Linked DNA regions of Saccharomyces cerevisiae S288C. The gene in region 1 interacts genetically with each later gene. Each region holds a gene or a part of one and is shown in the gene's direction. Other genes may lie near its edges. The genes, in order: YNR068C and YBR197C.

Region 1 (8,850 bases):
GGAGGAACCTCCTTCGAGGAACCGAGATGTGGAACATCCCAAGGAAAGGAAGAAGACGCTTTCGCATGCAATAATGGAGATCACTGCTCGAGCATAACGAATGTTCAGGAAGATGACTTTGTCCTTCCAGAACTATTGCCGTCATTCGAAATGTATGAAAATTTGCTCAGCAATATACCTCAATCTAGTTTCGATACATACTTTCCGGAGAATCCACCTTTTTATGAGGTTGCTTCCCGAAATCAGAGTATTCCTTCGGAAGGTGAGTCTGGGAATGATATGCGGATTCTTACCGGTGATATCGTTGGCCCAGATAATCATGAAGTGACTGTTGATGGCCGCCGGTTTGCTTCCGGCCCTGCTGAGTCTCAAATTCGTAATTATGATGATACTAAAGGTATCCCAGTTGAGAATATATACGCATTGCCTAGGATTAAAACCCCCATAGCGACTGAATTGTACGTCACAAAGACGGCTCCAAAATTTGGACAGCTTCCTAAACACGAGAGCATGCTAAGGGAATACACCTCTGGGGATATAATTCACGGTTATTTCACTGTAGAAAACAAATCAACCAAACCTATAAAATTCGATATGTTTTATTTAACTTTGGAAGGTACGACAAGTTCAAAAACACAGTCACCCTTTGGAATCCAAAAAACGACAGAAAGAATTTTGAGAATGGTAGATATGGCAGCGAGTTGGTCATATAATCATGAAGACGTGAACACGGGGGAAGACCTTTGTGGATTTTTTGACTCCATTGATAAAACAAGCTTTGGATTACCGAATAGCAGGATACTAAATCCAGGTGATAAACGTAAGAAATTTTTCACTTTTAAAATTCCGAACCAGTTATTAGACGTAACCTGTAAGCACGGTCACTTCTCTCACTCTCTTTTGCCCCCTACATTAGGGTTTGATAGACCATCGAGTTCTCATCCAGAGCTTTCTACTCTAAAATTTTCGGAGAGTTTAGGTTATGGTCGTTTGTCAGAAAGAGGTTCCTCACTATGGTTAAACGACAGTTCTAGTGGCAGCTTAATAAATTACTCAATAAATGCTATGATAGTAGGCAAAGACGTAGCTTCTGGGCGTGTTTGTTTAATGAGTGAAAAAAAGTATAGCATAAGGATAGTTCCATTTGGCTTTCAAAACAATCCAATTAGTAGGGAGAAGTGCCTCAAAGACTTAGAGGATTTCGATATTGAAATTGCAAACAGGCTTGGAATGATCGAAAAAGTCTTTTCTAAAATAGAGCGAGCGATTCCCATTCATAAGGAGGACATACAGGAGGCGAATCGCTCTGATCAACTATCACCCCTAAGAGGTAAGTATGAATGGAACGCGGTAGCTGGAAATACTGAAAACGGAACACTTAAAAAGAAACACTAGTCTGAAGAAGATAAAATTCAAACTGAAATTACTTACTCTATAGCATCTCTCTTCAACACAGGTCTGAAAAATGTGTTTCTCAAAAGTGTGCGTAATATTCCTTCATCTCAACCAGATGATCCCACTTCAAAGACTAACTCAGAGAAAATTGGGCTTATAACAATAAAAATAAAGCCCCCTAGTAATGCTTTGCCATATTGGTGTCCAAATCTAATTCAAAAACAAAATGTATTTTCAATGAGAAACAGGCAGAATCAAAAGAACTGGACTAATTTAAGAGGTCTATTGTCCGTTGAAGAGAGAGAAAAACTAGAAAATTTACGGCTTGAACTAGTATGTATGCAAGCTGCTAATAGTATTCCACATGACCCACCGGAAATCAGTAGTCTGGAGACGGAATTGATTTGCTTAACAACGAACACAAAAGATTGCAAACCAGTGAGGTTCCACAGTGATTTACTTTTAAAGAAGCACAAATACAATGAAATTAAGAAAATATTTAAGGAAATTTTGGAAAACATTGAAGCATATCGCGATGAGTTCACTAAAAATCAAACAAAAATAAACTTACTTCTTGCCGATGACGCAAGAGCTAGCCTGCGTAATAGATCGCTCGATTTTTCTGATTTAATGCCTTCGAGTATAATTAAGGACGTACAGGTTTTAGCCAATATGGAAGCCAATGTTGTTGTCATGAAAAATGCGTTGAAAACGAAGTTGGTTGGAGAGAAAAGTGTGCCTGTTGCTTCTTCTCCTATATCCAGCATAATTCCTCGAACTTCTAGGAATAAAAAAACCTCCCCATCAAACTATCACCATTCGGTACTTTCACATCGGAAATCAAATGAATGGAATCAGGTCAGTTCAACTGAGTATAAGAGAACACTGTTATTGAATATAAAATATAATGATGATTTTAAAGCTACCATAGTGCCAAGTTTTGAAAGTTGTTTATGCTCGAGGTCATATTTCCTCCGCGTAAAACTTCATTTTGATAAAGGTGTTGGATCTGCTGAAATTGATATCCCAGTTCAAGTTAAAAACTCTTTTATTTGATAGATGGCTGTTAAAAAGAATGGTTTCACTGACGAAGTTTTTATCGCTATTGATATTACAGTATCATTACTGATAAACACCTTAGTTCTTGCAGAACTGAAAGTGATAAAGCAAGGAAACAGTGCGCAGTAGCAATCTCTTTTACGATTGTTCTGCGTTTGCCAAGGTATTCTCAAAATACTTTAAGTACTAAAAACCTAAATAATCTCTATACATAGAACTTTGAATTTTCATTGTTTAAAAAAATGTACGGAACTGCTAAGAAAATGTACAAGGTAGTGAAAGCCCACAGAGAGGTACATTTCAAGTGATAAACTTTGCTTTTTAGATTTGAAAATGTGAAATCTTACCACTCTTTAAAGCGACCATACTAGTAATAACGCAGGAATAGTACCACTAAATGGGTTGCCATCAATTTTATGCGCTGTAAGCTGCGCATATGTTTCCTACTTAAGGTTATAAGCATAGAACTGGCCTTTCCTTCAGCAAAAGAATAGAATAAGCCTGCTTGCCAAGAGAACTTGCTCGATAGCGGAGTGCTAGCTATTTTATGACCAATTTGGTATTTGCTGGCATATTTTTGAAAGATCTGGCTTTCTTTTCTTTTTTTCTCCCCTTTTTACCTGAACCTTGTTACCGAGTTCAGCTGCGCTAAGCTCTTTTCGGCTATATTTTGTTATGAAAGCCAGCAGAAAAGGCACGAAATCTCCCAATTTGGTTACCAAGGAAAAACTAGTTAATCATAAAGCTGAACCCAAAAAGTTAAAAATAAGAGCTGGGTATGAAAAGAGTAGCAAAGCATATACACCATACGAAGACTACAAGCGAGGGTAAAGGACTACATATAAATACTTGGTGCAATTTGTTTCAAAAATGAATATCAAGTATGTTTCTTGTGCTTGTTTCAACAAGTAGATAACCATAGTAACGGTCTGCATACAGAAAAGAAAACAAAAAAACAGCTAGTATGCAATTATATCTGACACTTCTTTTTCTATTAAGTTTCGTCGAATGTTCATATATAAGTTTCATATCGAATAATGCAGACGAAATATTGGAAACTGATTTAATTGAAACTTTATCTTACGCTACTTTGACAGTAGGTGAGCCTTATGTTGCACAATCGGTGGTTGTAACAAGAGTATCTGCAGCTTCTCATAGCCCTCTCTCAGTTTCGCCAAAAAATAGAGTGAGCGCATCTCCAATTAATTCACAAGACAGTGATTCTAATACAAGAACAGCAGTTCAACTGTCATTGTCGTTATCAAACTACGCAAGCCAAGTATCTCAAAAAATAAGCGCACAAACCAATAATGATCCTGTCACTGTTTCAAATATTTACGCAAATGATAATTCGAAAAGCAAAAGTTCAGTACACAATTTGAGTTCGGTTTCCGGCGTCGCCTCAGTCATGCCAAGTGCATCAACAATGCGTAAAGTCACCACATTATTATCTCAAACTGCTTCGACTTCGACTTCGACTTTATTTTCTTCATCTTTATCTATTTCGGGGACACAATTAAATGGAACTTTATTGACTTCTGTTTCAAAAGGTACAATCGATCCACTGGTAACTCAAATGCCTTCCTATTCTTCCCAAGAAACAAAAATTATTCCTTCTTCATTGACCTCGAATAAAACGATATATACTATTTCAGTAAGGACAAATGCAGCTACAGCTACCGGCGAAGATTCCTTCATTGCTTCAACTCCTGCTTCCTCGACTTTGTTCTATCCATCCAACTCAACCCAGGATTTAGTCCAGACGCTCGCATCTACAACAGCAAGCCCTGCTTACCCATCTAATAGGACACAAATCACTCTTTCTCCATCTGTATCACTATATTCGACAACTAGTCCAATTTACCCTTCAAACATTACAGAAAACGGTTCTTCACCATCACCATCACTATCATCGACTGTTAGTCCAGTTTATCCATCGAGTTCAACAGGAAACATTCTTTTGTCATCACTATTTTCAACAGTAGATTCTTCTTCCTCTCCGGTTTCTTCGACATTAGATACCATTTATGTATCTTCTTCAATGCAAGCTACCATCTCTTCGTCCTCATCTTCGAGACAAACAAAAACTTCCTCCTCTTCTCTGTCAACCTCGACCAGTAGCACCGCTACCACAACGGAGAACTCTTCAACAACGACCATTGTCAATCTTTTCAATGCTGTTTCGACAGATGAACCACCAACTGTTTTTGACAGATCACCAAATCCTATGTCATTGGCTGATGGGGTGTCAAACGATGGTCCCATTCAAACAAACAAGTTTTATACAAATTTGATTGTTGGTAGTCAGGAATCACCTGCCTTTGTGTATCCTTATTCATTGTGGAAGTACACCTCGAGTTCATATGGTTTTGCTGTTCAACATACAACAGTAGATCAATATAGCTACGGTGGTTATGACAGTTCCGGTAATGCAGAATATTTGGTCAATCCTTTGGGAATTGCTCATGTTGTTTTCTCAGCTTCGAATTTTGATTCAAGTATGACTATGCAAGTTGATGAAATGACCTTGTCTTCAACAAGGGTAGTGCTATCAGAATCCAATGATTCTTCGAACTACCTGGAAATACCTTTGGTTCAAGGTATGGGATTTGCAACTGGTATATATCATGGATCTTTAAATGCCAAGATTGGTTCCAGCGTCGGATTCAATACCATTGTTTCTGAATCATCAAGCAATTTAGCTCAGGGTATTCTCAAATATCGTATCACCCTTTTGAATGGAGTCACTTGGTTATGTTACGTGATAGGACCAGACGATTTAACCTCAACGGACTTTTCATTGGAGGTGAGCTCAGAATATGAAATTAAAGCAAGCGCTAGTGTTGATGGTCTTATCATTCAATTGGCCGTCGCACCTTCTGAAACTGATTACGAGGTCTTTTATGATCAAGCCGCAGGTATGTACGTTACTAATTTCAAGCTGCAGGGTGTCTCTGACGGTTCTACAGCTACCTATGAATTTTCTTATACCACCCAAGGTGAGTCGGCATCAGGTAGCACAATGATTTTTGCCTTGCCCCATCATGAATCTTCATTTAGTGATATAATGCAAGACTACTATACCGGCATTCAACTCGCTTCTACAACTAAGGGTGTAATGAACGGTTATCTAACAACGAGCCTACAATTTTCCACATCTCTAAACAGACAAATATCTTGGTTACCATGGTCTTCTCAACTTGGCTCAAACCTTTTAGAGTATTCTAAAGAACAATTGCAATTATTAGCTGAAGTTGCCAATTCCGAATTACAGGTTAGTATTTCCGAAAGTATAAGCGGGTTAAACACATATTATTTGGGTAAAGTTATCGATAAGTATTCTTACATTCTATTAACGGTCTCCGAAATCATCCAAGATGAAGCCAGTACTAAGAGTACTTTGGAAAACATCAAATCGGCCTTTGATATTCTGCTACAAAATGAACAGACGTATCCACTAATTTACGACACAAAGTTCAACGGTTTGGTCAGTTCAGGAGATTGGGGTTCCACCAGCACGCAATACGATTTTGGTAACACTTATTACAATGACCATCATTTCCATTATGGTTACATTATTCATGCAGCTGCTGTCATCGGCTATGTTGACTCTAAACTGAATGGTACTTGGGCTGCCGACAATAAAGATTGGGTCAATTCATTGGTAAGAGATGTCGCAAATCCATCTGAAAAAGATGAATACTTTGCACAATCGAGAATGTTTGATTGGTTCAACGGTCATTCATGGGCAGCTGGACTTTATGAAAACGGTAACGGTAAGAACGAAGAAAGTAGTAGTGAAGATTACAATTTTGCCTATGCTATGAAGTTATGGGGGGCCACTATCGGTGACCAGTCAATGGAATTGAGGGGTGACTTGATGATTAGTATAATGAAGGATGCAATGAACGACTATTTCTATTATCAAAATGACAACACAGTTGAGCCTGAAGAAATCATAGGAAATAAAGTGAGTGGTATTTTATTCGATAATATTATCGATTATACTACTTATTTTGGAACAAACACAGAATATATCCACGGTATTCATATGCTACCTATCACACCAGTTTCTTCTAATATTCGTTCTGAGACTTTCGTCGAAGAAGAATGGCAGACTAAAATCGAGCCAATTATTGAATCGATAGAAAGCGGCTGGACAGGCATATTGAAGCTGAATCAAGCACTCTTCGACCCAGTAGATTCGTATGCATTTTTCAGTGATTCAACTTTTGATTCATCCACATATTTGGATAACGGAATGAGTCGCACATGGGCATTAGCATTTTCAGGGGGACTGGCCAACTCAATTGCTTAGAAAGAGAACTTGGCAAGCAGGTCTGTCGAGTCTTTCCCACTACATACATATTTTATAGAATAAATCATTTTTACTTAACTTGAAAGTTGTTGCGTTCGAAAAGACCACGGCTAACGGAGACCACTTAGGTAAATGCATGCCAGTAAGAGGTATATTAGTACTTTAATGAATGAACTTAGCAAGGTAATGCCTGCACTAAAATAAAATTCTAACGTCATCCTAAGAAGCATCAATTGGACATAGTGAGGAAAAGTTTTCACCATTTAAAATTTGTTTTGCAGAATACCATTCTAGACTATGATCCCTTAGAGATTCTCATTCTTTAAATATCAGCTTCAACAGCATATCTTTATAGTATTATCGTACTACTGGCGACATTAGCAAATCAAAGTATTTTTGCTCAGTTTCTAGTTTTATCTGTTTGATTCCCCATTAGATGGTAAACACGTTGTCTTGATGACTGAAAAGGAAGTGAACATGGTCAACTCAAAATAACCAGACTCAAAATAATTGCAATTACCTAGGCTAGATATTTTTAGAATATTATGAGAATATTTTTAGAATATTTGCAACCCAAAATATATTTAAATGCCGCCAATTTGCAACCAAAAGATTATCCGCTACCTTTTTTTTAGTCATTGAATCGTAGCATAAAGTTCCGAGCTTTGAAAAAAAGCTTTGAACTAAGAAAAGGTAAGAGATCCTCAATTATGATATTACTCCAAGTCATATGCACGATTTGGACATGTCTCTTTATTCCGTTACTCAATGCAGAGGAATTCGTCCCCAAAGTAACGGAGACTCTTTCAGAATATTCATTTAGTCTAGAGAGCTTTGACGATTCCAACAGTTTAATCAGATTAGATAATCAAGTCGTGTGGATAAGTTCCGATTCTGGAGAAAATTGGGAAGCGGTCAAAGAAATTGAAGGGCATATTCTCGAATTAATTGTTGATCCTTTGCATGGACAGGACAGGGCTTTTGTTTCGATACATTTATCACCCAAATTTTACGTCACCGATGATCGTGGAAAATCATGGAGGGCTCTGACTATACCCGTCTCTGAAAACTGTCGTTTGGGTACTTCTTGCTCTATAGCTACCCATCCGACAGATAAAAAGTACCTTATTGCAGATTGCCCTTGCTTTATAAACGACAATGGTTATATCCAAATACAAAATGAAACTTACTTTACCAACGATGGGGAATCCTTTTACAATATCGAACCTTCCTTGAAAAAGAAAGAAGATGACCATATAACAAGTTCAAGCTGCAACTTTGTCAAATCTAGCAAGGATTCTGATATTGAGGGTAACGACGCTTCGATACTATGTTTGTTCTCGAACCATGGTTACGATAGCGATCGTCACTTAAGTGCCGCATATACACAATTAGCCTTAAGTACTGATGGAGGTAAAACTTTCAAAAAATTTGATGAGTTTAATGATAAAATTATTTATCAATACAAGATATTAAAATCACATATAATCGTTTCGACACAAGATGATAGATACAATGAAATGTCACCCATGGACATCTGGATATCCAATGATGCGTCTACTTTTCAAAAGGCACGTCTACCTGCTCAAGTACGGCACGTCCATATGTATGGAATTTATGAAGATTCTATTGGAAGAATAATCATTCCTATATCTACGATATTCACAGATGAAAAAAACGACCAACCAGCTCCCTCAGAAATTTTAATATCAGATTCTCAAGGGTTGAAATTTTTACCTGTTGAATGGACAATAAATCCTCACTTTGGTTATATTGATATTGCTTCTCCTCATTTCTTAGAAGGAACAATAATTGGCTCGTTTCATCCTTCCTTTGACTACTCTCATAACAAAGGAAAATATAATAAAAAGATAGCCAGATATGAAACTAAAATATCTGTTGATAACGGCCTCACATGGTCAAATTTGAAAGTGGTTGACGAGGAAAATGCAGATTCATTCCCTTGTGATATCACTAGGCCTGAAAGATGTTCGCTCCAGAACCCTTTTTATAGTATCTAAATCTCAAATCCTACTGCCGGAATTATGTTAATGACAGGTTCCGTTGGCGACGGTAGT
Region 2 (8,714 bases), on another chromosome or scaffold:
GTGCCTGATAACTGTATTTGGCTTTTATAACTTTCTCTGGAGAAGTAATATCTTTAGAATTATGTCTGTTTTTTGGTGAAGAGTCCCGTTGGCTTTTCACTGGGGTGGAAGATGAAGAAAGGTACCTCACTGGTACTGTCTTAATATGCTTTATAACACTCCCATTATCATGAGAAGGTGTGGAAATATCTGCGGATGTAATTCTGCCCTTCGACCCATTACTATCTCTTTTTGAGAGTTTGAAGTTTTTCAGCATTTATATGGCTTTCTTGACAATTTCTTTTCACACAGTGCTTTCAACGTGCATCCATATGGGTTTAGTATATTAGTGAAAACATATGCTGATTAAGATGGTACATCAAATTATGGCTGTATTGTCACTTTCTTTTTTTCCTGTTCGTAAATGAATGGGGCCCTTCGCCATTTGTCCGTTTAGGGTAATATTAGTTAAGAAGCCGTTAAGGCCCGGGAAGAATGTCGAATAACAATAGATAAGAGATATTGTAAAGTTTTTGGATTTCGGTTTACCATATTGTATTGAAATGATTGAAAATATAACGACATTATAATTCCATATTATCAAGTGACATTTTTGAGGAGTAGCTTTCTCAAACCAATAATACCTTCAACAATACTATCTACTGGCTGAGAAACATTTCATTTTCCATGAATGTTCACCTGTAACATTTTTAGGTTGCTACATTATAAACTTTTCTTAATTCCATAATATATATCTATCTATGTGCGTCCTAAATTAAATCATAAAACCCCAGATGTGATGCCGTTCTCGAAAGCAGCGGCACAAATTCTCAAAGCTAATGTCTTCAATACATTTCTAACTCTTCCTCAGACATAGAGTGTCTTATCCAGGTTGCCTGGCAATTTTGGTTGTCTAGATCACTCCAAGGAGTGAATTTGCCTGGTACACAATTTCCATTACACCTATCTGAATCTGCTGGACAAGTTGGACAGTTCGTGTACGGAGTATGGTGATAACCTATATCCCTGAACCAATGGATGCTTGACTTATCCGCAAATAAAGCAAGTGCCAAACTTCTTACAGGGGCATCACCCCACCTTTCATAGTAGAATCCTCCCTTTTCTTCAAGATATTGCATATATTTTTCATAAGGTTCTGACCTCAAAAAGTCTAAATCGACTATTTCAAAATTGGTCCAGAAATGACAAGTTGAATACCCTTGAGTATAATCATAATTTTTTGGATTTTGAGAGTTATCTTTTAGCCATGCGAAGGCTCCGTTGACGTTCAAATAGTTTGGGTGTTCCTCGACAAAATCCATAGTTGAAGTCCATAGCGTTTCGATGGTTTGCGGACTATCATAGAGGTTCAAAACAAACCCATAAATCTTGTCATTCTTGTTCATAAATTGGAAAACGTCATAGTTAATTTTGCAATAGAAATTCACGTTTGGCTCTAATCTCCACACATATTTATATTTAGATAGCAGAGGATGATGGTAAAATTCTTTAGAATAGAAACGACACATGTTATGATAGGATTCCACCTCTGCATACTGAATGTTCTCTTTACTCATTTTGTCCATTTCTTGGTCGTATCTCTCCCTATCTATGCTATCAGGCATATTCCAGTTATCTGGACCAATAGTGCCAAATTCTACTACACGGTCCTTAGGAAGAATACTTTTTATTCCATCTTTGAATTCGTCAGTAAATTCCTCATCGTTAAGGAAGGTATAGGGATATCCAAAATTCTTATTGTACTCCTCTTCTAGCTGTTGAATAGAAGAAATTATATCCTCTAAATCAGAATTTCTCACCAAACTCAAAATAGTTCCTTTTGCCTTGCCGGCTAACGGATCCCCGCTACGTACCAAATTGTCCACCTTTGGCTCAGAAATTTCTTGAAGTAAAAACTCCTCGTACAACTGTTTATTTTCAGCAAGGACTTCATTCGGGTCAAAAGTGTCCTTTTCATAAAGGGGCTCGTGTAGCCTGTCCATTATGCTATCTAACACCTCAGCATCATGATCAGGAAGTTCATCAGCGCTTTCAGTTTTACCTGTAATACTTTTGTAGCTCTCCCGGAGAGAAGCATACTGGGACTTGGCACTATCCTTGACTGCTTGCAAATAGTTCTCATTCGCCGTTAAAAAGTAAAGAACAACGGTTACGGCAATCGATATTAGAATGATCACTGAAAGTACAGGTTTCAGTATCCTTTTTGAAAGAAACCTCATATCAGTTCGTATGGTTCACCTTGTTGGGTCTAAACTAAAAATTGTGTTCTGCTGTAACGGCCTATTGTATATTATACAGCCGTGCAACACCGTGAAAGTATCTGCATATCAAATGGTTCAAAATATTTCACTACATGCAGTTAGAGAACGTCTTATAGAGCTCGTTCCGTTGAATGGAATTCTCCCCTTAGCCGGGTAAAAGTAGCTGTAAATATCATCTTTTACGGGTTCAGATGAATTGTTCAAAAGCAAAAAAGTTTCAAGATTTCAAATGAAGTCTACAAAGTGGCAGAAAGAGCAATAAAGCAGGCATAAGGGTAGGAAAAGAGAAGGAGAAAAGATACGAGAAACTCCGGGTTCAAGTTGAGATACTTGAAAAATAAGAATGTCACAGAAGCAAAGTACGAATCAGAATCAAAATGGCACGCATCAGCCACAACCAGTAAAGAATCAACGAACTAATAATGCTGCTGGCGCCAATTCCGGCCAGCAGCCACAGCAACAGAGTCAAGGCCAGTCTCAACAGCAGGGGAGGTCCAATGGTCCGTTTTCGGCGTCAGACTTGAATAGAATTGTCCTAGAGTACCTGAATAAAAAGGGATACCACCGTACAGAGGCCATGCTGAGAGCCGAGAGTGGACGTACACTAACACCTCAAAACAAACAATCACCAGCAAATACTAAAACAGGTAAATTTCCTGAACAATCATCAATTCCTCCGAACCCCGGGAAGACAGCTAAACCCATAAGCAATCCAACTAATTTGTCATCCAAGAGAGATGCAGAAGGTGGTATAGTATCTAGCGGGCGACTAGAAGGGCTCAACGCACCTGAAAATTATATACGTGCATATTCAATGTTGAAAAACTGGGTAGATTCGTCGCTGGAAATTTACAAGCCGGAACTAAGCTACATCATGTACCCAATATTCATTTATTTATTTTTAAATTTGGTGGCCAAAAATCCTGTTTACGCCCGTCGTTTCTTTGATAGATTTTCTCCCGATTTTAAGGACTTCCATGGCTCAGAAATTAATAGACTTTTCAGTGTCAATTCTATAGATCACATCAAGGAAAATGAGGTCGCAAGTGCTTTCCAATCTCACAAGTACAGAATTACTATGTCTAAAACCACTTTAAATCTTCTCTTATATTTTTTGAATGAAAATGAGAGTATTGGAGGTTCATTAATAATTAGTGTAATAAATCAGCACCTAGATCCAAATATTGTAGAATCAGTAACCGCAAGGGAAAAATTGGCTGATGGAATAAAAGTTCTCAGTGATAGTGAAAACGGAAATGGTAAACAAAATTTAGAAATGAATTCTGTTCCTGTCAAGCTGGGACCTTTCCCAAAAGACGAGGAGTTTGTTAAGGAGATTGAAACTGAATTGAAAATTAAGGATGATCAAGAGAAACAACTAAATCAACAAACTGCAGGTGACAATTACAGTGGAGCCAACAATAGAACCTTATTGCAAGAATATAAAGCTATGAATAACGAAAAATTTAAGGATAATACTGGCGACGATGATAAAGACAAAATTAAAGATAAAATCGCCAAAGATGAGGAAAAAAAAGAGAGCGAATTGAAGGTGGATGGTGAAAAAAAAGACAGCAATTTATCTTCGCCAGCACGTGATATTTTACCTTTACCACCAAAGACGGCACTAGATTTGAAGTTGGAGATTCAGAAGGTCAAGGAATCTCGTGATGCCATCAAACTAGATAATTTACAGTTGGCCTTACCAAGCGTGTGCATGTATACATTCCAAAACACAAATAAAGACATGTCATGTTTAGATTTCAGTGATGATTGTAGGATAGCGGCTGCTGGCTTTCAAGACAGTTATATCAAGATCTGGTCACTCGACGGCTCATCACTTAATAATCCTAACATCGCGTTAAATAACAACGACAAGGATGAAGACCCAACGTGTAAAACTTTGGTGGGGCACAGTGGTACAGTATATTCAACAAGTTTCAGTCCGGATAATAAGTATTTACTTTCTGGTTCTGAAGATAAAACCGTCAGGCTATGGTCCATGGATACTCACACCGCGCTAGTAAGCTATAAGGGCCATAATCACCCTGTGTGGGATGTTAGTTTCTCCCCGCTAGGCCATTATTTCGCCACTGCATCGCACGACCAAACCGCAAGGTTATGGTCATGCGATCACATATATCCATTAAGAATATTTGCAGGACATTTAAATGATGTTGATTGTGTGTCATTTCATCCGAACGGTTGCTATGTGTTTACGGGATCCAGCGATAAGACGTGTCGAATGTGGGACGTTTCTACAGGCGACTCGGTTAGGTTATTTCTTGGACATACTGCGCCCGTCATTTCTATTGCTGTTTGTCCAGATGGTAGGTGGTTGTCCACTGGTAGCGAAGATGGTATTATTAATGTATGGGATATTGGTACCGGCAAAAGGTTGAAACAAATGCGTGGCCATGGTAAGAATGCCATTTATTCCTTATCATATAGCAAAGAGGGAAACGTACTTATTAGTGGAGGTGCCGATCATACAGTCCGTGTATGGGATTTGAAAAAGGCCACTACTGAGCCAAGCGCAGAACCAGATGAGCCATTCATTGGATACTTGGGTGACGTTACTGCATCTATAAACCAAGATATAAAAGAATATGGTCGCAGAAGAACAGTAATACCTACAAGCGATTTAGTAGCGTCGTTCTACACCAAAAAGACGCCTGTTTTTAAGGTCAAGTTCAGCAGAAGCAATTTAGCCCTTGCAGGAGGTGCTTTCAGGCCATAATTCACACTGAAAAAAATAACAGCATGGAAGTGATATGTAATAAGTATAACCTAATCCGATATGTAACTATTAGATGCTTTTTCGACATCGTACTTGACCTGCTCGGCGGTTATCATAGCGTCTTCTTTAGCCTTTTTTTTTTCGCTCAGTCATCGGGGCCAAAACAAGAAAGGCGAAGAACAGAAAAATGAAAAATGTAACTGGTTGTTGTAAAAACCTTCCAGAGAAATAAGATGAAATGTATGTTGCTGGCACGAACGAAGACAAATAATGGGAGTGAAGCAAACCCCACCAGTCCAGGTGAAAGTAAGCGACGCGGATTCCACCAACAGAAGGAAATCTAGTAGCCAGGAAGGAAACCCTCAGCTGGTTCAATTAAAGGCAAAGAGCGACAAAGATAAAAGAAAGGGATCTTCAGATTCCACTGCCTCTATAATGGGCAGTTCCAACGCACTTCCGACCAAAAACCTAACCACGCCTCCAGCACTAAACCCCTTAACGACCAGCATTAGTAGGGGTAATACTGCATACGAAAGAAGCGTAAATGGTAGCCGTATAACAATGCACTCAAACCTGGCACCTACGGAGACGCAAGACGTATCATGGTCTGAAATCGATACACTGGATGATGTGAAGAAGATGGCGAAAGAACCTATCGTCAACGACGGGTTCCCACGAGATTTTGAGAGCAATCTCACGCAAATGCGCAAGTCGCACGCTCAACTACTGCGATTAATGAGGGAAAGAAATCAGCGACTAAAGTATGCCAAGCTGAGGAGCCCTCCTCATAAGGATCAGCATAATTCTGCCACGAATAAAGATCAAGAACCAGACGAGGTATTGCATGACCCGGAAATCGCACTTGACGGTGAGAAGTACGTGAGCCAAGTTGTCGATACTATTAAAGATGTTCACCGATGCTGATGACATGTATGGGTTGAAAATATTTAGAGGATGCTAAAAGTCCCGTCTAAAATAGAGGAAGTCATGGATTACATTATCACCTTTATTGTCCTGTTCCGTCTGGCTAATTTGGGACGAGGAACGTTTGTCTCCATTCGCAACCTTTTGAAACCATATGAACGGCGGCTAATCTGACAGATGTCTTATATTTCTAGGATTGTAGAAAGCCTCCTCATCAAACCACCTTGTTTGAAAAAGGCACTAGTGCGGTTGCTTTACTTGATCTAGTATTCTCCTACCTTGGAGCGGTCCCATATCAACTAAATTCAGTTTTCTGACTGAGTTAAAAACTAATGTAGCGACACCACTTCCATTGGTGCCTCCGTTATTTTTTTTTTGTATGTTAATGCTAAATAATACACCGCTATGTATTTCAGGGCACTACTTCTACACATCAACGGTACTAAACATTTCGCTCAAGATCGGTCCGCTTTCACGTATTTGGATGCTATGCAATGTTGACTATTCTTAGTGGATAACATGCGGCATTTCCTGGCGGCTATTTGCATCGCTATGTAAGTGGCAATGTTCGGATGTGGGTAGTACTTTCAAAAGAAAAAATATTACTGAAGAAGGCATACTACGCCAAGACTATTTTATTCTCAGCACTTGTCCTACGTGGGGTTAGAGGCGAGTAAGACTTTGGCCCCGCTGCGGAAGCAAAGAGAATTTTGCCATCGGACATGCTACCTTACGCTTATATCTCTCATTGGAATATCGTTTTCTGATTAAAACACGGAAGTAAGAACTTAATTCGTTTTTCGTTGAACTATGTTGTGCCAGCGTAACATTAAAAAAGAGTGTACAAGGCCACGTTCTGTCACCGTCAGAAAAATATGTCAATGAGGCAAGAACCGGGATGGTAACAAAAATCACGATCTGGGTGGGTGTGGGTGTATTGGATTATAGGAAGCCACGCGCTCAACCTGGAATTACAGGAAGCTGGTAATTTTTTGGGTTTGCAATCATCACCATCTGCACGTTGTTATAATGTCCCGTGTCTATATATATCCATTGACGGTATTCTATTTTTTTGCTATTGAAATGAGCGTTTTTTGTTACTACAATTGGTTTTACAGACGGAATTTTCCCTATTTGTTTCGTCCCATTTTTCCTTTTCTCATTGTTCTCATATCTTAAAAAGGTCCTTTCTTCATAATCAATGCTTTCTTTTACTTAATATTTTACTTGCATTCAGTGAATTTTAATACATATTCCTCTAGTCTTGCAAAATCGATTTAGAATCAAGATACCAGCCTAAAAATGTCCAATAACTCATTCACTAACTTCAAACTGGCCACTGAATTGCCAGCCTGGTCTAAGTTGCAAAAAATTTATGAATCTCAAGGTAAGACTTTGTCTGTCAAGCAAGAATTCCAAAAAGATGCCAAGCGTTTTGAAAAATTGAACAAGACTTTCACCAACTATGATGGTTCCAAAATCTTGTTCGACTACTCAAAGAACTTGGTCAACGATGAAATCATTGCTGCATTGATTGAACTGGCCAAGGAGGCTAACGTCACCGGTTTGAGAGATGCTATGTTCAAAGGTGAACACATCAACTCCACTGAAGATCGTGCTGTCTACCACGTCGCATTGAGAAACAGAGCTAACAAGCCAATGTACGTTGATGGTGTCAACGTTGCTCCAGAAGTCGACTCTGTCTTGAAGCACATGAAGGAGTTCTCTGAACAAGTTCGTTCTGGTGAATGGAAGGGTTATACCGGTAAGAAGATCACCGATGTTGTTAACATCGGTATTGGTGGTTCCGATTTGGGTCCAGTCATGGTCACTGAGGCTTTGAAGCACTACGCTGGTGTCTTGGATGTCCACTTCGTTTCCAACATTGACGGTACTCACATTGCTGAAACCTTGAAGGTTGTTGACCCAGAAACTACTTTGTTTTTGATTGCTTCCAAGACTTTCACTACCGCTGAAACTATCACTAACGCTAACACTGCCAAGAACTGGTTCTTGTCGAAGACAGGTAATGATCCATCTCACATTGCTAAGCATTTCGCTGCTTTGTCCACTAACGAAACCGAAGTTGCCAAGTTCGGTATTGACACCAAAAACATGTTTGGTTTCGAAAGTTGGGTCGGTGGTCGTTACTCTGTCTGGTCGGCTATTGGTTTGTCTGTTGCCTTGTACATTGGCTATGACAACTTTGAGGCTTTCTTGAAGGGTGCTGAAGCCGTCGACAACCACTTCACCCAAACCCCATTGGAAGACAACATTCCATTGTTGGGTGGTTTGTTGTCTGTCTGGTACAACAACTTCTTTGGTGCTCAAACCCATTTGGTTGCTCCATTCGACCAATACTTGCACAGATTCCCAGCCTACTTGCAACAATTGTCAATGGAATCTAACGGTAAGTCTGTTACCAGAGGTAACGTGTTTACTGACTACTCTACTGGTTCTATCTTGTTTGGTGAACCAGCTACCAACGCTCAACACTCTTTCTTCCAATTGGTTCACCAAGGTACCAAGTTGATTCCATCTGATTTCATCTTAGCTGCTCAATCTCATAACCCAATTGAGAACAAATTACATCAAAAGATGTTGGCTTCAAACTTCTTTGCTCAAGCTGAAGCTTTAATGGTTGGTAAGGATGAAGAACAAGTTAAGGCTGAAGGTGCCACTGGTGGTTTGGTCCCACACAAGGTCTTCTCAGGTAACAGACCAACTACCTCTATCTTGGCTCAAAAGATTACTCCAGCTACTTTGGGTGCTTTGATTGCCTACTACGA

The links.
Region 2: mutations in YNR068C (region 1) and YBR197C together harm fitness more than expected from each alone (negative genetic interaction), as found in Saccharomyces cerevisiae (one large-scale study listed by BioGRID).

Annotation. Positions count from the first base shown.
Region 1 is NC_001146.8:753,668-762,517, reverse strand, and holds YNR068C (uncharacterized protein), read left to right. Parts: upstream 1-1,632; coding exon 1,633-2,451; downstream 2,452-8,850. Other genes in the region: BSC5 (Bsc5p), read left to right, coding at 1-1,395; DSE4 (endo-1,3(4)-beta-glucanase), read left to right, coding at 3,419-6,772; YNR066C (uncharacterized protein), read left to right, coding at 7,483-8,793; YNR065C (uncharacterized protein), read left to right, coding at 8,818-8,850.
Region 2 is NC_001134.8:612,414-621,127, reverse strand, and holds YBR197C (uncharacterized protein), read left to right. Parts: upstream 1-5,271; coding exon 5,272-5,925; downstream 5,926-8,714. Other genes in the region: phosphatidylinositol-3-phosphate-binding protein BEM1, read right to left, coding at 1-256; KTR4 (putative mannosyltransferase), read right to left, coding at 825-2,219; TAF5 (chromatin modification protein), read left to right, coding at 2,605-5,001; YBR196C-B (uncharacterized protein), read left to right, coding at 6,498-6,602; YBR196C-A (uncharacterized protein), read left to right, coding at 6,955-7,104; PGI1 (glucose-6-phosphate isomerase), read left to right, coding at 7,228-8,714.